Xenopus tropicalis: one gene and its partners. The protein of the gene in region 1 purifies or fractionates together with the protein of each later gene. This does not show direct contact. Links are inferred from orthologs where the notes say so. Each region holds a gene or a part of one and is shown in the gene's direction. Other genes may lie near its edges. The genes, in order: use1, napa, rint1, bnip1 and scfd1.

Region 1 (3,885 bases):
CTGCAATTTGAAATGCCATAAGTGCTGTTCCTTTTAATTAAGAGAAGGGGTAGTCTTATTGATTTATATTGCTGTTGTACACTCTGACTGTTGCGCACTTAATATAATTTGGTGCTTTGATCCAGTGCAACATATTTCCAGTGCTAATTAGCCTTGAAGTAGACAGGAATGGACACAATTTTCAGCTGCTTTTTTATTACTACATCTACCAACAAATGCTTTACTATCTATGCAGCTGGTGGTGGATGAAAGAACCAAAGGATACCTATTTTGGCCTAGGTTTGATTTGTCTTCTGTTATCCTCACCCCATGTACAACAGTAACATTCTTTTCTCCCAAACAGAGGCTCTGTTTCAGATGACAAGCAATCTGCGGCTGAGCTTGATGCAGTGCTACAGCATCATCATAATCTACAAGAGAAACTGGCCGAGGAAATGCTACGTCTCACCCAAAACCTAAAGAACAACACACTGGCAGCGCAGAATGTTATTAAACAGGATAACCAGGTACATATGAACAATAAGACCAGACTCCAGAACTCTTATTTTGCCTGCATTCATCAGGCATTAGTAAAGCCAACTGTGTTATGGTGTTATCAGGAACCCACACTTACACAGGTAATCCAATACTTGATACTGCGTGTCATTCCTCATAAAACAATATCCTTCAAATAGCGCTCACTTCCTGCCTTTTACTCAGTCTTACCTTGTGTCTCCTTCATGAGAGGTAGTTGTTGCATCATTATTCTTATTTTTAGCAAAGCCCCAAATAATGTAGTTTTTGATAGTAAAATGTGTATGTGTGTCATAATAGGTCACAATTTACTTGTTAGTTCAGAGATCAGTCTATGTATTGAATCGCATATTTTCTACACTGCTGAAATATTTCCCTAAACATTATAATGGTAAACGACAAATGTCATTTAGTATGTAAAGTTTGCTTATGTTCCCTCCCATCTAGATTGTAAGCTCTATGAGGCAGGGACCTCCATCCTCTTGTCTCTTTGACTCTTAACTTATTGCAACTGTATCTTGTATTTACTTGTATTTATTGTTATACTTTGTTTTTATCTTTTATTTTAATAACCCCCTGTTTGTATTAATCTATTCTACTGTACAGCACTGTGTACATAAGTAGAGCTTTATAAATAAAGATATACATACATACATATATTATGTGGGCTGATCTACAGTGTCTACCAGTTTAAATTAGCAGATGAAAACACAATTGGTAAGTTTAATATGTCAGTAGAAGCACAGAACTGAACACCCAAAGAAGGGATGATTTGGGATGCCATGCAGTCTGCTTAGCTGATAACAGTTAGACGAGTCAATGTGGGTTTGGGATGGAGGGGTTTACTATCATCGGTAAAATGGGTGTGGGCATGGGTAAAAACCTACTTTCAGTTTTCTTGAGATCCATTGGAGCAATGCAATAAGGATATCCAAATACATGACCAATTCATACGATAGGGCACATTCACTTACCTAGCAAAGGCCACTTATGGAACCCTGGAGCCACCGCCTAGTCAGAAGGTGGTGTTAACTCCAGGGTTCTTCTAAGTAACTAGGCACAGCAGTGCCCTGTTCAGAATGGAAGGCAGGAATAACTGAGCGCCACTGAGCACGAAAGTGCAAGGAGCATATTTTGATGCAAGTACCTTTAATGAAAGTGGTTTTGGGCACTAATCACTGCAGAGAAAAAAGGGCAAGTTGCACATTGCGCTTGCAGAGGTAAATGTGCCATAATATTCCACACTTGACCTCTGGTCTGATTAGATGAATAACCAAAATGAAACCAATGTTTGACTACCTTGACTTTTGCCACTTTGTTTGTTGCTCACTTGTTTCATTGTGATTCTCACATCTCTTTCTCACTCATTCCCTCTCCTATGTAGACACTGTCTCATTCTATCAAGTTGGCTGACCAGAACTTTGAAAAGCTAAAGACAGAATCAGACCGCCTGGAGCAGCATGCCAAGAAGTCTGTCAACTGGATTCTCTGGATTATGCTCATCTTTGTCTGCTTCACTTTTATTAGCATGATTCTTTTTATCAGAATATTTCCCAGGTTGCGGTGACAGTTAAAGCTAAGCAGCATTCATAGTACATTGCTCAAGACACAAGCAACAAATTTCCAAAAGGAATTTGCATTGCGTTTACTACTGCAGATAGTACCACTATTTTCATAGTGGAAAATGGAATGGCAGAAAGAGTGCCACCTCAGCCTAAGGTCATCTAAAAACTGGGCGCCTGCTTTCAGATGCCAGTTATACAGGTGTGTCATAGAGAAACTTTCATTGTCAGTATTGGCAAGTGATGCCACAGGAAAATAAAAACCATATGACCTTATCTTAAATTTCAGGAAACTTGTCCTTAGCTTATTTACAAAACATTCCATTTCACTCTCTTTGTTTATGCCAAAAGCAATATAGCTTAATTAATAAGCTATCAGATCCAAGCATTGGTTCCTCTGTATTGAACTACGTTATGAACTTCATAGAAACCACAGTATTTATTAAATAAAATGCAACTGTTTAATATTTACTTTGTAGAAAGGCATTTATCATAATGATTACCGCCTCCTTAGAAAGGTGTTGGCAGGCAAACATAAGTTCCTTGGATGCTGCCTTTGAAGACAGCTTTACAGCACTTGCTGTTTTCACAGTGCCAGGCAGTTTTACTGAAGTTGAGAAGGATACCTACAGGGCTCACAGGATGTGAATATTGAAATCCCACATGTTTTGCTTGTGAGTGCTCTAAAAAGTAAGTGTAACAGTGAATCACAGTTCCTAATGTGTTCACTTGTTTGCCTGCTACAATATTCGGGATGATATCACAGACAGCATGCACACACCATTGACAGGGTCACCTTTATGCAGAGGCAAATGCCTCTCTTGTAAAGACAGCTCCTTTTCAAAATTGAAGATTTTTCAATGAGGTCTGAAAAAGCAATTGAAACAGAAAGTAAACATACATTTTAATAAAGCAAACACAGTTCTTACAGAGCTCTTTGTACTTTTTGTCATCTTTGCTAATCCCACATTTTAGAGAAGCTTTGTTTTTTCACCGTAGGACAAAGTCAGTTGGGTCAGTATCTCTAATATCTATTCACCTAAGGAAAAAGCTAGGGCGAATTTACTAGGATAGATGCTAAACTGTGCCAGTGCAGTTGTTATGGCAACTAATAAAATCTATGTTTTCATTTCCTCATTGGTAGTTAATTAATTGTCAATTAGTTGCTATGGGAAACTGTTCTTCTGCAATTCAGGACCTTTGGTAATATGCACTTCTAAACTGAGTGTGAAAGTTAGGAGTCGCAGGATGCCATAATCATATCTACAGGGTTATGTAAATATTATGGTTACAATTGCATACAACTGAATTGTATCTACAGCCGAACCCCCATTTTAACTTTTTTAGGGGACCAGGAAAACATAGTGTAAAATCCGAGAAAAGGGGTTGATGTTTCACTTATACATTTTCTGATTAACATGAGTCACTTCCAGAAACATGGCCTAAACCTTCTGCATGCCATAGGCAGACACCCAGCACCTTGTGTCCCCTGACACTTTCCAATTTCAGCAAAGTGAATGATGTGTAAGCTAGGGGAGCATACCAGGGAATGGCCACATGCCACTGCCCCCTGTCAAAAATTGTATCTTATGCTGGGAAAATGATTGTAAAGATATTCAGGCTCAGAACTTGGGGTAAGCACAATAGGTATGTATTTAGGGCTAAATAGCAGGGGCCCTATTCTCCCCGCTCTTAAAAAATATATATATTTTTAAGTTTTTATTTAAGATTTTTAAATAGACATTCATTACAATAAGAAAAGATAAGATAAAAAGAAAAGAGAGAGAAAAGAAAAGAAGAGCCTGGTGGA
Region 2 (5,343 bases), on another chromosome or scaffold:
AGGGGGTTGACCACAATAGAAGGCCATGATACACAGTATCTGGAAGAAATAAGTCTAAAGCAACTTCTGAGTACTCTTATAAACGTTTCACCACTCAACCAAGTGGCTTCTTAATTTCAGCCGACAGGTAGGGAATTACCTGGCATTTAAACTCTTAATGGAAATACAGTCACCAACATCCATCGAACTATTCAGATGCAAAAATGTGATCCAGTCACGATAATTCTCATTGAGGCAGGTGTAAATTCTTCAATGTACTTGACTGGAATGTTCAAGTTTGCATTCTTGAGAGAAAAACCACCAATGCCATTGGTAGGCAGTCATAGGTCCCAACTGTCCCGCTTTACGCGGGACAGTCCTGGTTTTTGCCTACTGTCCCGGATACTTATCAAAATGTCCCGCGGTGCCTTTAAGAGTCCCGCTCGTCTGCAGGTCTTCTCGGCTCATTCCGTCACCGCTATCTACGGATCTTCACGGCTTCTTCCGCGCGTTTGTCTTCGGCTCTTTCCGGCTCCTTCAGGTGCTTCGCCATCTCGGTCCTTTTTGTGGTTGTCTGCAAGTCTCGCGAGATGTGAGTATGGCTGAGCAAGCCATTTCACTTAAAATTCAGAACGAACAGGATGGGTGCTAGTGCTGCTCAGGCTGTGGGTCACAAAAGTTACGCTGGTGCTGCTGTGCCTTTATCTACTACTATACAAGCTCTACTTACTGCTCCTTTTTTAAAAAAAATAAGCTTGGTGAGTCCCTGACTGTAACAAAGGTGTTTATTAATAATGAATATTAATTATTTATTAAGAATTAATAAACACTTGTTACAGTCAGGGACTCACCAAGCTTATTTTTTTTAAAAAAGGAGCAGTAAGTAGAGCTTGTACAGTAGTAGATAAAGGCACAGCAGCACCAGCGTAACTTTTGTGACCCACGACCTGAGCAGCACCAGCACCCACAACAAATAAAAAAGTGCAGGAAGAAGCTGTGAAGATCCAAAGACAGCAGTGACAGAAGGAGCCAAGGAAACCCAAAGGAAGACAAAAAGACCTGAAGACGAGCAGGACACTTAAAAGACACAGCAGGACATTTCAGTAAGTATCTGGGACAGCGGGACAATGTGCAAAAATGGGACATCTGGGGGTGTGGCCATATAGTGGGCGTGGTCAAGAAAAATTTCGCCGCGCTTAGCGCTGCAAAATATTTTGTCCCTCTTTTTCATTTTCAAATGTTGGGAGGTATGAGCAGTTTATATTAAACTCATTGCCAGGCACGTTAAGCAGTTTGGGTTATTCTTTACTGCCTTTCCTTAACTTGGCCTTCAGGTCATTAGTAAAGTATATAGTTGGTGGTGCACCAATAAGCAAAAAAAACTGTTTCCTGGACCTTTAACCTCTACCGCATTTATGCTTAGAGAGCAGAGAATGGTAACATGGAGTTACTGTAATAAGCAGTATTAGCTGAATCAGAACAAAGGCTGCCCCCTTACTAATAATGTTAACGCCAGGGTAGTAAAAATGATGCCTCGTTCCAAACATTGCCAATAGCGAGGCAAAAAGCTAAAAACAAACAAACCCGGAAGACCACTGTTTTTTTTAATATGAAATGCAACACTACACGAAGATAAGGACAACTAAAACATAAAAAAGATCATATGTAAAAAAATGATAATGTAATAGAAAACAACGCACTACAGTCTGTATTATTTTTAAAAAGGAGTACACATCTTTCCCTTTAAATGCCGCTCAGAAAAAGCCTAACTACATCTTCTGACTGTGTCTAGGCGGATGTGAATGCTAACGTTTGGTCACGTGGCACGGATATTGGCGGAAACAGAATAATCATGTGTTCTGCGGGCGGAAGTTTTGCTGTCACTGAAGCATAGCTGCTGATCCGGAGAAATACTAAGCGCAGTCATTATTTGCCTGCAAAATCAGGTCAGCGTCCCGCACACTGTTACAATTCTTTCCCTTCTGCTTGCCCTATTCTTCTGCTCTCTGATTCCCGATTATCTCCCTCGGCCGTCTCTCGGTTCAAGGGTTTTTGATCCCTGGCCTCTGCCTCCTGTTTGTCTCTATCCGCGAGTATCCTCGTATTACTAGCTCGTCGGCTTTCTACGAGGCCTTTCACTCATTTGCAGAGCTTTTTCTTGGCTGCCTGCCTCCTAGTTCTGGTTAGCGCTCTGAATCGGCTAACATCTTGCGGTAATAGAAAAACTTTAATAGATTAACTACTTTCCTAAAATGTAATTCCAGGCCCATGTTACAATGGCTGATTCTATGGTCTCTGATCTAATACCGGGGAATTTTTCTGAATTTATAGATATTTTCTTTTTTATAATTTATATTGGCATCTATTTTCCATATTTTCTGATTGTTATTATCATTGACAGGCCCCATTCAACCATGGATAACTCTGGGAAGGAGAAGGAGGCTCTGCAGCTTCTGGCTGAGGCTGACAAGAAGGTGAAGTCATCGCAGTCATTCTTTTCAGGGCTGTTTGGGTAAGTGAATTAGAAATAATTACATGGTAACAGGGCAAAATCTGTTTCTGACCAAAAGCATTGAACTGTCACTAGTGTTAGTAATATTAAGCATTTACAACGCTGTAGCTGTCACTACACAAAGCATTTTACATTTTGTTAATCTTATAACTTGAATAGTGTGTAATCTTTGTCTGTTTGTCTGCATTTAAGAGGCTCCTCTAAAATGGAAGAAGCATGCGACCTCTATGCCAGGGCTGCCAACATGTTTAAGATGGCCAAGAACTGGAGTGGTAGGTAGTATGTAATCTGTAAAATCATTTGTAACAAACTTTCCATATATCCATATATAGGTATATAGATATTTATACTCCTCGGAATAGTGCAATAAGATGCTCTTCTTCTTTTTCCCAGCTGCTGGCAATGCCTTCTGCCAGGCTGCCCAGATCCATCTTCAGGTTCAAAGCAAGCATGATGCAGCCACTAACTTTGTGGATGCTGGAAATGCATTCAAGAAATCTGACCCCCAGGGTAAGAGAGGTCCTAGTTGTCTCTTGAATGAGTCTTTTTTTTTTTCAAAGTTATCTATCAATAACTGTTTGTACCAGCACCCAGTGTTCCCCTTTGATTTGTTTTCGGTCATATGCACAAAGATAACATATTTATATCAGTTATGTGCACAGAAATGTGGGTTGTTGTAATAACTAAGTGTAAATAAGTGTTTTGCACAAAAGTGTTTTTTGTCTATTGTGGCAATACCCCCACAATGATAGCTCCAAGAAGAATAAAATGCAGAGACCCCCCTCCTCCCCCGTCTTGATGCTCCTGAATACAGTGCTCCTCACCTGTAACTGTTAATAATAGACAAAATAGACCGGTGTGATTTGCAGCATTTTTTTACTATCAAAGCAATCCTAGCACTGGTCGCCAAATGCAAACAGGCACATTTCAAGCTGATCTGATATTGTCTTGACCAGAGAATGCCATGCACAGCCAGGCACATGAATATATTCTTATATATTCATCTTGAATATGAAATGCCAGGTGATTTTAGGCCTTATTTTATTAGAGGTATTTTATTAAATGAAATAAAGGCTTTTCTGCAAGAATACATAAAGCAATGCTTAACTTTTTCAATAATAACTTTGATAAATGATCACAAGTATCTATATTGTTTTCAGAGGCAATTAACTGTCTGCTTCGAGCAATAGAGATCTACACTGACATGGTAAGGACAATTTCAAACTATCTTCCGCTTTTTTTTGGTCTTTATCACTTCTTAAGTTGACCACAAACAGAGTGACAATGCGAATATGGCTAAAAGAACGCAAGATGTTTAGTAAGATATTTGTTGACTAAGGATCAAGGTGTGTTTAAATGCAGTTTGTAGAGAATGATACATATGTGTTTGGGAAATGGGCAATAGAATTGTTATGGAAACAAGTGGGTTTTTTTTTAGTCAGAAAGTAGCAGGGAACAAAAAAAATGCTCTTCTAATGAATGTTCGGATATCGATCATACGTTTAAATGCAACGATCTAAAACTAACATTCAGACTGAAATTGTAGGATAAAGCTCTAAAAATAAATTGGAGGATGTTCTGAACATGAAATAGTAGGCAGACATCAATAATGCAAAAGTGAGGGCAGGCAGTACCCTTCTGAACAAACTCTATGCCAGGTGGCAACAGGATCTCCCCCACATTACACTTGAACTGTGGGAGGAGGTGTTGGAGTCAACCTTTGATGCTGTAATTAGGGATACACCCCACCGTTACAAATATTAAACCAGGAGCTCCCACAAGAGTGCCCCAGATGTCGTTTTTCACCATCTGACTTTATCCAGCTGTTGTGGCCTGTGTGCAGCACTTCTGGGAGGAAGTGGCAAAATATATACCCGGTAGAATGGATATCTGGTATATGCTCAGTCAGGTTCAAGAGCTGTCCCCCCTCATAGAGAAAAAAAAAATGTAAATGTCCATTTTATGTATGTATGCAAAAAAAAAAAAAAAAAAACCCACAGAAAAATTGCACAATTCTTAAAGACACCTGGTGGGCCAACTGTGGCAGCATGAGAAGCTATGGTGGAGGGAGCCATTCCCCTGTATCCCCTGCATAGGCGGTCCTCAAAGATTTGATGTTTGTTGTTGGGTTTTATGTTGAATTTTCTTGTTTATGTTTAGGTTTATTGTAAAATGAGCATCCTATTCATCTGGTTTTTTTTATGATGTTGCACCATGTACTTTTCAAATGCTTAATAAGAGCATAAAAAAACAATCAAAAAAAAAAAAAAAAAAACCTTGTGTTTTTTTTCATGTAGGGAAGATTCACCATTGCCGCCAAACATCACATTTCCATAGCAGAGATCTACGAGTCAGAGCTGGTTGACATAGAGAAGGTGAGTTATTTTCTCTCTCAGATATAATCTTTCTCTTCTTCCATTTCTTCATATGCTCTCTCTCTCTCCCTCTTTCACGACAATTATCCTTTATGGTCTCTTAAAATGCTGGTTGCACAGAGATATGGGAGGGTTCAAATAAGTGTAAAACTAAGTGAACAATGTTTGTCCATGCAGTGACCTCAATATTTGTGTGTGCGAATAAGTGCTTGGCTTACAGGGAACTTTGTCCTAGATCTTTTATTGTTCCTCTGGGTCATCAGTTTTGTCTGCCTGCTTTTAGGCTGATGCCACACAGGGCTGATTCTCAGCTTGTGGAAAAAGGCCCTCCTGTCAACAGTCTCCTGCCTTGCCTACACCCGGAACCATTGTGTCGGCCGCATGCACCTACACCCAGGCTGACACAATTGTTCTGTGTGCAGACAAGATAGGAGGCCGATGCCAGTGGAGGGGCTAAAAACGCATGCTGAGAATCAG
Region 3 (4,718 bases), on another chromosome or scaffold:
AACCCGAGTGACATCTGTGGACTGGTGGATTTGGACACATGTGAGATTCCATTGTATGTGTGTGAATTTGTAGAAAAGGAGATAGGAAATGATTTCAAGTCTCTGAAAAACGTTTCAAACCTCATAGAAACCATTAAAGAAGAGAAGAAACATTTGGAGGAGCAAGTAAGTACAGCAGGTTATATTTTTAAGTCCTGTTAAGGATGATGATGTGATCTCTTACCTCAAGAACAGCCCTAAAGATTAAAGGGCATTGGCTGCAGTTAGAAGTAAAAAGTTGATGAGAGGGCATGTGGTGTGATTTGGGGTGTCATCCCATCAAGTAGTGACAAAACCTTCCTACTAGTAATTAGCAGGTCTCTTCTAACATGCACCTGACCATCAAAAGCTGCTTTCCAACCTGCACCCAAAGTATTGATCTTTCAGAGGATTAGAACATGGAATCAGCCCTTTATGTCAATCTTGTCTTTTAAAAATTATTCCTTTTCCAACCATAGTTTTCCTTGCAGTATTAAGCTGCACAAATGCAAAAAACAGGGCACTCTTAAATAAACCTTTTTTTTATCATTTATTAATGCCACACATAGAAATACCCAACACATTTCGGCCCTTACAACGAGGGGTCTTCGTCAGGGAAACATGCAAAAGGTGCAGGCAACTTACATTGACAAAGTGTTAGTAATATATACCCTCCAGAAAGTCCAAAATTTGACGTGCCAATCTTCAGCGTTACTTCCCCCATCACTTCCAGAATGTGCAGAGCAGGATGTCACTTTTCATGCTCACGTCCTTCCCTTAATGCAAGTGCCGCTTTCTTCCAGGCAGATCTCCTTTGCGTTGCACATTATCATTGCAACCTGTGACGGCAAATGCTTCTCATCATTTCAGCAACTCATCCTTGATTAATATGTATAATTGCTAAGGGTAACACAACATCACCTCATAAATAAGGCCATCTGGAGCTCATCACAGGTTAATACATATATTTTCAAGGCGTTGTTTTTGGTTTCCTTTCAAAAAAAATCCTTGCAAAACTGCATAGTAACAGTGCTATTTTTGCACTGGCAATAACTAAAGCATCTCCGGGAAATGGTAGCGCCCTCATTTTATTACAGTGTAGGAGCTCACTTAAAATTACTTCAGGGTTTTAGATGTAATTCTCAGCAGTCTTCAGTTTACATTTAAGCAAGTCTTTGGAATGCAGAGGGTTTGTTAAAATGCATAGCTCTATCCATGAAGTGTCTCCATGTCTCTATCACTGTCTCCATACCCAAAAGTGTTCACATTCATATGGCATAGTCCTTCTTTTGTAAAAACTTTTTTTTTTTGTTTGTTTTTAATTCCAGGTTCTTACTGTTTCCTCTGAGGCTCCTAAACGAATCCAGGCAGCTTTAAAGAATGCTGAAGATTCAAAGACTTCTCTTGATCTTCTACTCCAAAAAGAAATTGTAGTGACAGAATCCATTAGTGTGCACCTTGAAGAAGCTGCACCATGGATGGATGATCTAGGGGTACTGATCAATCAAATGGAAGAGGTTGAACGATACCTTTCCTACCTGAAATGGATCTCACAAATAGAAGAACTCAGGTATCAAAAATGCTACTGTAGCAGTGCCGTTAAAAACTAGCCTTAAATAATACGGGCTTTGCTTATTTAAGTAGGTAATTCTTATTATTTGATTGTATTTCTTAGTGATAACATCCAGCAGCATCTCATGACGAATGATGTTGCGGAGGCTGCCAGCACACTGGTATGTATGGCAGAATTGGCCATAAAGCTTCAGGAATCCTCTTGTTCCCATTTATTGACCTTTATAAAGTCTACAGTTCAGTTTTGGCATAAAATTCTGAAAGATAAACTGACAAGGTAGGGGAAAAACTTTATAAAGTAATACTATAATGGGACTTTTTACTGTGTTTAAACAAGGTATTTATATTTATTTCTTCAGCGACTTTGAAGAAGTGTTAAATAATTTGCACTGGCCTTTCATTGGTCCTCTTCTATCATCAGCCTCTGCTCCTCCTGTGTCGGCCACTGTAGCAGAGATCTACACTAATCTTGAGACTCTCTTTTCTCAACTTCTCAAACTTCAAACTTCGTATCCTTGCCAAATGATAGAAACTACTCTGATCGCTAAACTTTTTATTTAGTAATTTATAATACTTTTATACTCAAAAAGATGTACCAACAAGAGAGAGAGAGAATAACAAATTCCAATTTGATTGTAGGCAAGAAAGGTAATGGAGTGACTGATATTAAAACACTTTGCAGCTAATATATTTGATGAAGATTAGAGTGTTCCAGTCCTAGAGAAAATGCACACTCAAACATCAGTCACACTTGCTTGGAAATCCTGAAGTGTCTGGGTTCATAGCCAGCAGGAATTATTGAAAAAAGATTGAGAAACTTTGCTACACAGCAATGCTGTTCACATGGCACAGAACTGTATTTATTAAAGACAAAAATCTGCTCCTCAAAATGTAGGATGTTGCCTAAAGCAACATGTTTGTCAATTACACTATAGCAAAAGAGGGGAAGCTGTGCTCACCACTAAATTTTAACCCATTAGGCAGGGGTGCAATGAGGCTGTGATTACAAAATATAGACAGAAACAAGAGGTCCTCTGCACTTACCTATTTTCAATATATAATAAACGAGGCCTGCATATCCTGTAAATTATATCCTTATAATATACAGTTTGGTCATTTCCCTATGGGACCAAACTGTAAATTATATCCTTTATAAGTGGTGCTTAGTGATATCATCAGTTATAATCGGAGCTTAGTGAAGTCATTTCTGTTATAAGACTCACTGAAACTTGTACATTATAATAAAGTACCCCCTATTGTAAAATATGAGGGTATTAGAAGTGACGTTGGAGTTCCATGACCAGATAAAAGCACGAGGCCAAAGGCCATGGTGACTTATAATATCCCTATATTTCACAATTGTGGGTACTTTACTTATTATATAAACAGTGCTTTGTGATGTACTTTCTATAAAGTACCCCCTATTGTAAAATATGAGGAAATTAGAAGTCACCTCGGAGTTCCACAACCTCTTTGACTTATTATATCCTCATATTTTACAGTAAGGGGTACTTTATTCACTATATATAGAACATTTAATACCATTTGGGGACTTTAACCTTGAATGCAAGCAAGTTGAAGATGACACTCAGTTCCTTTGTTAAATGTATATTGAAGCTGCAGAATTCTTAATGAATGAGATAAAAGTAAGTGTAGCAGTGGCCAGACCGGCACGACTTTGAAGTAGTTGGTCAGTGTGAATATGTTGCAATATATGAACAAACAATCCCTGTTTTGTTTACAGGTTAGGGCATTTCCTAGTAGCTTAGTGCATGGAATGTCACGTACACAATGCATTGGTGTTATTTGACTGTTGCTTTGTTTCTGTGGGTATTAAACTTTTGAAAACATATTAGGGCTCATTTACTAACAGACACAATTGCTATGTCAAAACTGCTCCATCAGCACACAATAAAGATAGTTCTTGTGTCTTGCACCATTGTAGAGAATATGAAGAAGGGGAGTGCAAAGCAGCCAAGTCCTGTACTTCTTGCCTCACCTAATCAGATGTAACATCAGGGTTCAATTTCCTTGAGCTTCATGCAGAGAGGGCAAAGAAATTGCATATAAGCATTCTGCACCTTTTCCTCATGTTGGTAATGGGCCCTATTTGAAAGATCTAAAACAATACTCCAAAGACTGAAAACTTGTGTGTATCTTTAGTATATATTTTCCCTGTGATAATTTGTTACCAGCAATCACTGTTAAATTCTTAATACTGATACCTAGCGATGAATTAATTACAAAACCTAAAGAGATGCCAGAGAAATACTCCCTTCCTGCACTACCTCCTATAATGCTTCCCATACAGATCATGCTTTCCCCTCTGCAGAAGAGGTTCCGCTATCATTTTACAGGCAACAAACAAACCAATGTCTTAAGCAAGGTAAGAATTTGTTTTTTTAGTTCTGCAAACACACTGTAATTAATCCTGTGGTTTTGGCACTGATTAGTGCATAATTTGTATTAAGTTTATTAAATCAAATTCTAGATTAAGCAGGTTATGTACACAAGAACCTTTTTTATTTAGCTAACAAAAGTGATATGTTTATTGCCTAGAGCAGTGCTGTCCAACTTCTGTTGTACCGAGGGCCGGAATTTTTCCGACCTACGTGGTGGAGGGCCGATAATGGATGCCAGTTTTGACCACTCCCCTTTTTGAAACCGCACCCACTTGAAACCACACCCATGTTATCACATGACCATACCCATATTAATGGTTGTAGTACAGCAAAAACCTGCCATACTCTGCCTGCCCTACCCTGCCTGTGTGCCATACTCTGCCTGCCCTACCCTGCCTGTGTGCCATACTCTGCCTACCCTACCCTGCCTTTGTGTGTGCCATACCCTGCCTTCCCTACCCTGCCTGTGTGTGCCATACTCTGCCTGCCCTACCCTGCCTGTGTGCCATACTCTGCTTGCCCTACCCTGCCTGTGTGCCATACTCTGCCTACCCTACCCTGCCTGTGTGTGCCTACTGCTCCTGAGGTGTGAACAGGGGAACAATGGGGGTAATTACAGCCTGAGCCTGAGGTGTGAACACTGCAGGGGGTGAACAATGCAGAGATTAAAAGGTGTGAACAACACAGGGGATTACATATTTAAACAATACAGCCTGATTACAGCCT
Region 4 (5,384 bases), on another chromosome or scaffold:
TATTTGCTAACACTGACCCTGGATGGGTAGCTTTCTTTCACCTGCTGCAGCACCACCTTCGCAGTGCTCCTAGGTAAGTGATGCCCTGGATTGGCACAGGTACAATAAACAGTCCAACAGAGACAAAACAGCACAGGCATTTGCCCCCTCCCACACTTAATAGACTCTGGAATGTGATGCCAAGCCAAGGGCAGCAAGTCACTAAAAAGTCATAATCATAAAATGCACTATGTTTGCCCAGGATCAGTAACTCATAGCAACCAATCAGCAGGTAGATGCACTGGTCAGCTGTTTAAAAGCAAACATCTTATTGGTTGCTATAGGTTACTGCTACAGGAAAAAAGTTGTGCCTTTTAATACATATGTGGGTATGAACACTGTTATAGGAATAGTTCAGTGTAAAAATTAAACTGGGAAAAATAGACTGTGCAAAATATAAAATATTTCCAATATAATTAGGCAAAAATGTAATCTATAAAGGCTGGAGTAAGCATATGTCTAACATAATAGCCAGAACCTGACTTCCTGCTTTCAGCTGTCTAACCTCTTAGTTAGTCAGTGACTTTAGGGGGGCCCACATAGGACATAACTGTTCAGTTAGTTTGTGAGCAGGCAGGTCAGATTCAAATGCAAATTAACTGAACAGTTATGTCCTATATGGCCCACTCAGGTCACTGATTGGTTATTGATTGCTAACAGCTTAGAGCTGTTCTGGCTATTATGTTAGACATCTGCCCACTCCATTTTCATTTTTACACTGAACTGTTCCTTTAAGATAGTCACAAGGAAAATTATAGACTAACCAGGCAATTATTTTAAACAAAGGAGCACCGGGGGAAGAGGAAAAGGTAAAGTACTGCATGGCAGGGCAGAAGCGATAAGAGGTGGGTTGGGAACCATACAAAATAACCCCAACATTATTTAATTTACTTGTGCCAAGAATAACTTTCTTCAGTTTTAGAATAATACAGCAGTGAATCATCAAGCAGCATTTACTTTTCTGGTCTTTAAAATTAATTATCTGATTGGTTACTAGGGGTATTTTTGTAATGAAAAAATGCAGAAAGTTGGCCAGTCATGTTTGTGCCCAGATGTGCAGCTTTCAGCCCCAGAAACATCCCTCTCAAAAGGGAGTAAAATAGATGATAGGTTCGGGACAGGTAATATTCTGAGCCCCAGATGTTGCAGAAAAACAACCACCAAAATTCTGTCCTCCCTTATCTGAACCACTGGTGGGAGCTGAGGGTTGTAACTATAGATCACTGAAGTACCATGGGCTCATGCAAAGCCTCCTATAGTTCTCCTTTCCACAGCCACATACTGCTGCCCTTACTGTACTGTACCCTTTCCACTCATACCCCGAAATATCTATTATTTTTATTATTAACAAGCATTTATAAAGCTCCAACATATTCTGTGTTTATGTACAGCAAAAAAGGGTCTCTAATGTCATTCAGCAGGAAACCCCATAGTCCAGTCTAAGCCTGTTTACATTTGAAGTTGACTGTTCACTTGCTTTAAGGGTGAAGACACACAGAGCTACTTAGTAGCAGCTAATTGTCACAGCTACTAAACGCCAGAAAATACCCTGACATAGACAATACTGAGAATTACCTCTGCCACATAGAGACAATTAACAGTAAATGATCAGCATTGTCTATTTCTGTAGCCGTGACAAGTAGCTGCTACTAGTAGCTCAGTGTGTCTTCACCCTAACACCCCTTTGAACTGAGCAGAACGTTTCTTATTGTGTGCGTTTTCCCAAAAGCACCTCTAGATGTCTCTGTGCCCCCTCATCGCTGTCCATACGAGCAAAGAAATTACCTCTCCATACAGCAGATGGCGCAAAGGTTTATTTTTGTCTTAGTCAGAGTCATCGGTGCATGGTATTTTGTCCCATTCCGCGCACCGTTGTTAAGCCTGTCGCGATGGCAGATTCGCAGGATGTCCACGTCCGAATTTGTCACCAGGAAATCGTTAAATATGACCTGGAGATCAAAGCGCTGATCCAGGTAACGCAGTGGGGTGCTGAAGGGGTGATCGCCATTAATAATACTGACTTTCTACATGCAGGAGGCAGTAGGGAATTCAGCTTACCATTAAGGGTCCGAGTTTGTAATATTCCCTATGCAACGCCACCTAGCGGCAGGCCGAGCTTACGTACCAGTTCCGAAGACTCCAAACTCAATGGTTTATGTTTGAATGCGGACTGGTGTAGCGTTACCGGCATGTACTGATAGTTCCCTACGGTCACAGCCTACTGTATGGTTTGGTTAACAGAGCCTGGCAGTTTTATTTTCCTAAATTATTACATGGGCTTCCTGCTACATGTTCCATGTACTGCACCCTAACAGTTATGTAGGTATAATACATTTAACTGGCTGATAACTGAAATAGCTATAATGCTTTCCCAGCTAATGAGCAGTGCTGCTATCAGTACTCATAGGCTCTATACTACTGAGTTAGCAGGGGGCCTCAAGTTTAACCCTCAAGTTTAACCCTTCTGTCATCTGGGCCATTATGAACCAGAATTAACACTGACATTAGTTGTTACCAGTGGCATAAAATAAGGTCAGGCTTCCAAGCAAAAGACTTTTCCGGGCCCTCACATGTTGGGGTGAGAGCCACTTACACCCTCGGCCACATAGTGACCACCACCTTCGCCTCCATGCTTGCAGAGCCAGAAGTAGCTGTAACCATACAGCAGGCCATCTGGATATCTGTATGCTAGTTAGCCAGTGAATGTTAGTATATCTTAACCAAAATGTCAAAATATCAGCACCCAGTAATCAAGTCTTTGTCACCAGTAATATCTTTGTATAGAATAACTTCCTAAAGCTGATACCTCAAGAGAACTGAATCCAAGTGATTTTGGTCACACTTATGGCACACCAAGCCTGGGATTCAAAATAGGCCCTGGCACTTCAAGTACACAATGTCCCAAACAGTGTCTGTCTATGGCTTCTTACAGCAGCCCCTCTGGCATTTGCCAGAATCCACAGATTGCCAATCTGGGCTTTTTGCACACCCAACCACAATTTATTATGCCTTGACTACACCCACTTACAACCCAACTTTATCCTTGGCTGGAGGCTGGTGGTTACTACCAGCATATTAACTGTCATTTTTTAATGACGTTTGCTAGGCATCTCATGTGCCACTATGTCATTTCAGTTTGGGAACAGCACAGCAGATGGTACTTTCTCATTGGATCCTTATCCCCCTAGCTCTTCTGTATTGTATGTAGACGTTTTAAAATGATTTGTCTTTTATAGGACATCAGAGAATGCCCTGGTCCTCTAAGCACCCTAAATGATTTCAATGCTCAAGTCAAGGAAAAATTCCACCTGCTGAGGCTGAGAATACAGGTACATTGTGTAATTTAGTAAAGACATTGCATTTTTGAGGGAAAAACTGGCTAGGTAATTAGAAATTCTTAACCACAAGAGAGGTTGATAATAAGTAATTGGGGCCTCTGCCCTATGATTAAACTATATTTTAAAACATTAAAAGTCCATTTACTGCCTATAACAGGGATCCCCAACCTTTTTTACCCGTGAGACACACTCAAATGTAAAAAGAATTGGCAACACAAGCATGAAAAATGTTCCTGGGGTGCCAAATAATGGCTATAATAGGCTATTTGGTAGCCCCTATGTGGACTGGCAGCCTACAGAGGCTTTGTTTGGCATTATATTGGGTTTTTATGCAACCCAAACTTGCTACCAAGCCAGGAATTTAAAAATAAGCCCTTGCTTTGAGGCCACTGGGAGCAACATCCAATTGTTTGGGGAGCAACATGTTGCTCATGAACCACTGTTTGGGAATCACTGGCCCATAATATTGGGAGCCCTCAAAGCAAAGCATATTATTCGCTCAGAGTTTTTTTCTAAGCACTTTTGCAAAGTACATTTTTTCTACTTTCTCAGTTATTAGAAGTTATTTGAAGTGCTGATTATTTTAGGCCAATGGGCTAAAAGTGGCTAAAAATGAATTTCCTGAGAAAAGAAACATTTTAAGGTGTTGCTCTCCCTAGAACTGATCACAGAAACACCAGAGACTCCACTTTCTAAGCAGAGCATCATTACAAAATGTTTCTTATCTCAGGCAATTCATTTTTAGCCAACAGTAGCCAGTCACAGTAGCCAGCCAGCTGAAATATCCAGCAGGTGGCGCTGTTGTTTCAAATATGTTATATTAGCCCAGTGATCCCCAACCAGTGGCTCGGGGGCAACATGTTGCTCCCCAACCCCTTGGATGTTGCTCTCAGTGCCCCCAAACCAGGTAGTTATTTTTGAATTCCTGACTTGGGGGCAAGTTTTGGTTGAATAAAAACAAGATTTCCTACCAAATAAAGCCCCTGTAAGCTGATAGACTGCATAGAGGCTCCCTAATAGCCAATCACAGCCCTTATTTGGCACCTCCGTTAACTTTTATGGTGCTTGTGTTGCTCTCCAAGTCTTTTTACATTCGACTGTGGCTCATGAGTAAGATAGGTTGGGGATCCCTGTATTAGCCATTTCAAAACAGCTAATCTCTTTAAAACTAAAATAAAAATAATTAAAAGTAGTTCTAAGAGTACTTTGCACAATTTTATAGTCATTTGTCTTGATGGATTACAGTACTTGTTTACTTGCTTGGATTTACAAAAAAAAAAAAACATTTTTGCATGAATCATTGCTCATCACCAAAAGTGATCACCTTTAAAGTCATCCAGGTAATAGTTTTCTAAACCTATAATTGGTGATATACTTCTTTGTTATTTTGGAAAAGGATTTTGAACAGTTGGCTAAGGAGCAGGATAAGGAATCTGACAAGCAAGCATTGCTGAAGGAGATGGAGTGCCACAAGAAACAGATGTTAAGGTGTGTATGGTCTGCTGCTTACATCTTGAGCTGTGCGAAAAATGGCCCCATAGCTTAATAAATAAATGTTATATAAAACAGGTGAAGAACTTTTCTTGCTTGCCTCTCAATATGTTTACAACACAAGGTTAATCAATATTGCTCTGTAGTTGTCCTACAAAGCTGTCCTGCAGTTGCTCATACATGTTTTGGCTGAGACATACTCTCTCTCTGCTTTCCCATTAGCCCACATGTTGCTGGGTGAATTCTAAGCTCCCCAAGGGAATTGTTGGTCAGTGACCAGTACTACACACAGTTCTACTTTAGTGAAAGGTGGCTTTGTGGTATTTTGCTGTGCTAATTAAGGCTGGGAATCTTTGTCAGAGACCCAACATCATGGGGAACAACCCCATGCCTACCTTCAGCACCTTGACCATGTTGTGCTGACTCTGAACTTTGCACCCCTTTCTCGGTAACTAGTATGAATGACTAGTGGCCCTATTTTAATGCTTCTTACAAATAGGGAGGTGGTGCTGGAAT
Region 5 (4,718 bases), on another chromosome or scaffold:
TGGACTGAAAGGTTCATGTTTACGCAGCAGGTATCACATCAGAAACATAAACATGGGTCAAATGCAATGCATTTCTCTCTGCAGTACTTTTAAATAAAAGCCTTTCTCATATAAAATGGGCATTTGTTGCCATGAAATAGTTTATTTGTAGGTGCTGGATAGTTAAATACAAACTTGAAATGTAAATAAAACATTTAAACTTTTTAATGTTACTGGTACTTTAAATTAGACAGTAACTTGTAATCTTTCTGTACATTGTATAACATTGCATAAAGATGATCATTTTCTGCAAGCAACAAGTAGGGTGAGGTTTGGTCATTGCCATGTCTTTAACCTTGTGACAGCAAAGCAAATGTAATCATTAAAATCACAGGTAAAGGAAACACCAATTACCAGCCCTGTGTTGGTTTATGGTAGGGATTTTAGATATTACTCCCAGGGTTAGAGCAACTGTCCCAACACACAAGCAGAATCAATTGCAATTTATCTATAACACTTTTGCTGCGCTGCTACTTGGGATGTCTGTGGTGGCTTATCATTGAGTGTGAGGGATAAGAGGGCTTAGCTGAGGTACCATAACCTGACTCATAACTATGATAATATGTGGGAAACAAATCTCTGACAAGGTTCTGTAAAGCACGTGTAAAATGAACTGGTATAATAATAACAGGTGGTAAGTATGTGATGAGAGGGTTAAAAGTGGAACACATGCTTTTGCTGTATAATTTGTATATCTTTTTCCATAGCCCCTTTCCAGAAGTGGCAGAGTCAGTCCAACAGGAGCTAGAATCTTACCGAACCCAGGAGGACGAAGTGAAGCGGCTGAAAACCATCATGGTAAAGAGCCACATATAACCTGGCGTGAGCCTGAGTCTTCAAGGAAATGAATCCCCTGCAGTGTAATTGCATTCAGAATTAGCACATTAGTATATTCACTAGGGTAACATTTCAAGTAGTGCCTTATTATAGAAAGCAAGTTTATGCAGGCATTTAAATTGCTATGGAGTCATTGCCAGATTGCTCTGGAAGCAGAAAAATATAACTTTTCATGCCATGTGGATTAATATATTAATGTCTTCTACAGTTGTATCTGACTATTGTTTAAAGGTAATACGGACACATTCCTATGAAAATCCACACAAATGTGTCAGTGTTAGTACAGAAGTTGAGGCAAGAACTCCTTTCTCTCCACAAGCCCCCCACACTGCCCCCAGCCCTGAGGTACCTGTGTTGCACAAAAGAGAATGTGCTGGAGGAGCAGCGTTGTTTCTTTCCACCATGCCCGGCTGGGGGCTCAGTATGACCTCTCAGCTAACGTTGGTTAGTTTTGTTTTCTCAGGGCTTAGAAGGAGAAGATGAAGGAGCTATCAGTATGATTTCAGACAATACAGCAAAGCTAACATCAGCCGTCAGGTGGGTGCTGTTGCTTTTTTTTCTCTCTTTAGTTTAATTTTGATGATGGGATAAGAATGAGCAAAAAGATTCTGTGTTCAGGCCCACTTTCAAACAGCTCTATAACAGTGAAACGTGGACAAGAAGAGAGCATGAAAAGGGAAGGGAAGTTACTTAAACATGTGGTTGAAAACTAAGTATAGTAACCTGGTATAAAGGGGCAGAATGGCGCTAGAGGATATAAGAAGTACAAGGGGTTGTGGTAAGAGAGTCTCTTCTAGTATGGCTAAAGAAGTAAGCTGACAGTCTGGAGAATGATGGATGGGGCACTGACATTTTGAGGACCAGGAAGCTGTGAGGATTGATAGGGGGTGGTGGTGGTACAGATATGGGATCAATTATCTGGAAACCTGTAATCCAGAAAGCTCTGAATTATTATTAATAAAACAGTACCTTGTACTTGATCCCAGCTATCCTATTAAGTTTAATTAATGTTTAAATGATTTTTTTTAGTAGACTATAGATCCAAGTTATAGAAAGACCCCTTATCTGGAAAACGCCAGGTCCTGAGCATTTTGGATAACAGGTCCCTTGCCTGTATAAGAACAGTAGATGTGTCTGGCAGCATGATAAGCTTTGCTAAGACTGAGAAGAGTGCAGAAGTGCTAGTACAGTGGTGCTAGGCTACAGTGACTGGGTGGGACACAATAATAAATATTTTGAAGACATAAAGGCTGTGAGGAATGGATTAGGAAGATGTAGACAAAAAGGCAGAGTTAATATGAGAGATACTTATATCGTTAAAGATATTGGCTTGGAGTTCATGGCATCATGATAAAATGAAGGTTCAGATGGTGATTGAGAGAGTAAGTAAGGATGGTGATGCTGAGTTGGTAAGAATGCATATAAAATCAATCACATAAGACAGGGTTAAGTAATGATATTTCTGTTCTGCATACCTAGCATAGGTAGGAATGAACACGTGTTGAAGTTTTTCTTCTCTATACTTTCAGCTCTCTTCCTGAGCTACTGGAAAAGAAAAGATTAATAGATCTGCATACCAACGTGGCTACAGCAGTCTTGGAACATATCAAGGTGAGACTCTCCTAGAAAGTCATACCCACTGATCATTTTATGGTTTCATTCTCACTTGGCTAGTTCCAGTGAAACCTGCCATTCAACAACTGCTATAGTATGGCCCAGGACTCACTCAAACACTCTTGGTAGTGCTGGTCTCCCTGGTCTGTGATGATGCACGGGTGACATAGTAGACTTGTGTGCCATCAGTTCTGTGCATACACAATTGACAACCAACTGCACAACAATCGTCTCGGTTTCATAGAAAACTCTTGGGTTTCTTTCACGGTGCATCTCAGGACACTGACACAGACAAACTAGTACTGTAGTTTTCATTTTCAGGTTACATGTAACCCTATAGAAAAACTATTTACCTAGTAGCACATGCAGACAGCAACTTATGGGTTAAGCCTGTGCATAAAAAAATAAATAAATTCAAGGAAGTTTTAGAACGTATGTGAAAAATGTAATGAGACATTTTAACTATCATTCCTTTTGGTGGGCATGACATAAAAGCTTGTCATTAGGTGGGCAGAGCCAGACAGGCTAGTACACTATTGCCTGGGATTTAATGACTGATGTCCCAGGGAGTCTGGTCAAGTATACATGTCAGCTCAATCCCAGAAGCGTAATAATCAGGCTTTGGGCACTCAAGAGCAGCATGAAATTCCTGCCATGCCAGTGCGTGTCTTCAGGTTCTGTTTCTTTATTTGCAAATTCCATGAATTGTATGGCATCTTTGTAATTAATTCAACATTGCAGATGTGCCACAGGCTTAATACATTAAGCTGTTTAGAAAGAATCCTTTGTGTTCTTGCTTTGTGACTTCCTGACAAGACACATAAGTCTCACTAAAAATTGTCTTTGGATTATTAACTGCACTGTGTAGCCCATCCAGCCCAAACCATTATCGTGGGTTAAGGATAAAGTATATATGTAATTCCTGTGGGCATATAGAAAGATAATATTTAGCTGGAGGCGGGGGAGACAGATGGAGACAGCAGGAGGGAGTAGAGGAGGCTGATGGAGATAACAAGCTAGGCATATCCATCTAGGCGACAGAGACTGATCAAGACAGCAAGAAACAAGGAGGTAAATTCTAACTGATGGAATATATACATACAGAAAAATAGATGTAATATTTTGAGTTATACTTCCCAGCAATAGTCAGCATTATATTATATTACAAGTAGGTGTTAATAGAGTTTAGTTCAGTGTCTTGTAAGTTAATGCTCATCTAGATCCAGCTAATAAATGAGAAAACTGCAGAACAAAAAGTTTTATAATTAGGTGGGAAAAAGCACAATAATATAAAGACCACTGACATACTGCCATAAAGTATCAGATTCAATATGAAACTCTTCTTGATCTTGTGATGATGTGATTTGTATAATATTAACCATTATGTTGTAAGAGATTATGGGTAACATTGTAAAAGGCTACAGTGCTTATTTACAACAGACTGGGGGAAGCAGTGAAGAACACTAAGGGGCACAAGTGCTCATTCAGCAAGCATTTCTTCCCTCATTCTGAAAGGTTCTGACCACAATGTCACTCGCAGTAAAAACAGGGCCCCATTACAGCCTGCAATCCTCTGGCACTCCCTCACACCTTACAAATTCAGTTATGCCAAATGCAGACAGATTTGTTTTTGTGTGGGGGTAGCTCTGTAACAGCGAAAGGCAGTGTGCAAAATGCAAAATAAAAAAGAGCACTTTTTTTGCGCTTTGCATGATAAACAACCATTTATGCTTACGTTCATTTGGTACATAACTGTTAAATAGATAATTTACAATGTAGGATTCAGCATGCAAGGTGCCAAAAGGACCACAATCAGACATCCTTTTGCATTTCGCAGCTTGCTTCCTACGTTGTGTTACAGTTTTCACTTGCTCTGCATTTTGATTTGCTCTTCTCTGTAGACAATTGGATATATGTTTTGCTGGCAGGGATGAGTGGAGAGCTCCCTTACTTTGCATGAATGTCTTAGTGCTCTATAGGTTGTATCTACCCAGTCCTGGGTCCTGCGCATTCTCCTGTATGGGGCTCTAAAAGTAGAGTGTACAATTAAGCTTAAGGACCCCTGTTTACCAATGTCTAGACTAGCTGACTAGAATGTGTTAAGGAATAATGTGCTTTTGTTTTGTGTTGATGGTTGCTGCATGCCTTTCACTTTTTCCTCATACTGCCTGTCCATGCAGTTAGATTCTGGTTTGAAGCTGGTCCCTACACACTATTCTATTCTGCTG

The links.
Region 2: the proteins of use1 (region 1) and napa purify together in Homo sapiens (affinity purification with mass spectrometry; 3 studies listed by BioGRID and IntAct, counting the BioPlex papers as one, with this or other methods). This does not show direct contact. The link is inferred for Xenopus tropicalis from reciprocal best matches to the Homo sapiens genes USE1 and NAPA.
Region 3: the proteins of use1 (region 1) and rint1 purify together in Homo sapiens (co-immunoprecipitation; 3 studies listed by BioGRID and IntAct, counting the BioPlex papers as one, with this or other methods). This does not show direct contact. The link is inferred for Xenopus tropicalis from reciprocal best matches to the Homo sapiens genes USE1 and RINT1.
Region 4: the proteins of use1 (region 1) and bnip1 purify together in Homo sapiens (co-immunoprecipitation; 4 studies listed by BioGRID and IntAct, counting the BioPlex papers as one, with this or other methods). This does not show direct contact. The link is inferred for Xenopus tropicalis from reciprocal best matches to the Homo sapiens genes USE1 and BNIP1.
Region 5: the proteins of use1 (region 1) and scfd1 purify together in Homo sapiens (affinity purification with mass spectrometry; 3 studies listed by BioGRID and IntAct, counting the BioPlex papers as one, with this or other methods). This does not show direct contact. The link is inferred for Xenopus tropicalis from reciprocal best matches to the Homo sapiens genes USE1 and SCFD1.

What each region holds. Positions count from the first base shown.
Region 1 is NC_030677.2:111,879,546-111,883,430, reverse strand, and holds the end of use1 (vesicle transport protein USE1), read left to right. Parts: intron 1-343; coding exon 344-506; intron 507-1,897; coding exon 1,898-2,080; 3' UTR 2,081-3,007; downstream 3,008-3,885.
Region 2 is NC_030684.2:79,896,636-79,901,978, forward strand, and holds the start of napa (alpha-soluble NSF attachment protein), read left to right. Parts: upstream 1-1,902; 5' UTR 1,903-1,925; intron 1,926-1,935; exon of another isoform or gene 1,936-2,192; intron 2,193-2,380; 5' UTR 2,381-2,393; coding exon 2,394-2,491; intron 2,492-2,683; coding exon 2,684-2,763; intron 2,764-2,884; coding exon 2,885-3,001; intron 3,002-3,651; coding exon 3,652-3,698; intron 3,699-4,788; coding exon 4,789-4,866; intron 4,867-5,343. UniProt on the Homo sapiens protein: Required for vesicular transport between the endoplasmic reticulum and the Golgi apparatus. Together with GNA12 promotes CDH5 localization to plasma membrane.
Region 3 is NC_030679.2:77,089,256-77,093,973, reverse strand, and holds part of rint1 (RAD50-interacting protein 1), read left to right. Parts: coding exon 1-165; intron 166-1,346; coding exon 1,347-1,588; intron 1,589-1,693; coding exon 1,694-1,867; intron 1,868-1,949; coding exon 1,950-2,099; intron 2,100-3,819; coding exon 3,820-3,976; intron 3,977-4,718. UniProt on the Homo sapiens protein: Involved in regulation of membrane traffic between the Golgi and the endoplasmic reticulum (ER); the function is proposed to depend on its association in the NRZ complex which is believed to play a role in SNARE assembly at the ER.
Region 4 is NC_030679.2:43,443,645-43,449,028, reverse strand, and holds the start of bnip1 (vesicle transport protein SEC20), read left to right. Parts: upstream 1-1,898; 5' UTR 1,899-1,928; coding exon 1,929-2,012; intron 2,013-2,091; exon of another isoform or gene 2,092-2,328; coding exon of another isoform or gene 2,329-2,358; intron 2,359-3,275; coding exon 3,276-3,368; intron 3,369-4,773; coding exon 4,774-4,865; intron 4,866-5,384. UniProt on the Homo sapiens protein: As part of a SNARE complex may be involved in endoplasmic reticulum membranes fusion and be required for the maintenance of endoplasmic reticulum organization. Also plays a role in apoptosis.
Region 5 is NC_030684.2:113,060,812-113,065,529, forward strand, and holds part of scfd1 (sec1 family domain-containing protein 1), read left to right. Parts: intron 1-746; coding exon 747-837; intron 838-1,339; coding exon 1,340-1,413; intron 1,414-2,405; coding exon 2,406-2,487; intron 2,488-4,718. UniProt on the Homo sapiens protein: Plays a role in SNARE-pin assembly and Golgi-to-ER retrograde transport via its interaction with COG4. Involved in vesicular transport between the endoplasmic reticulum and the Golgi.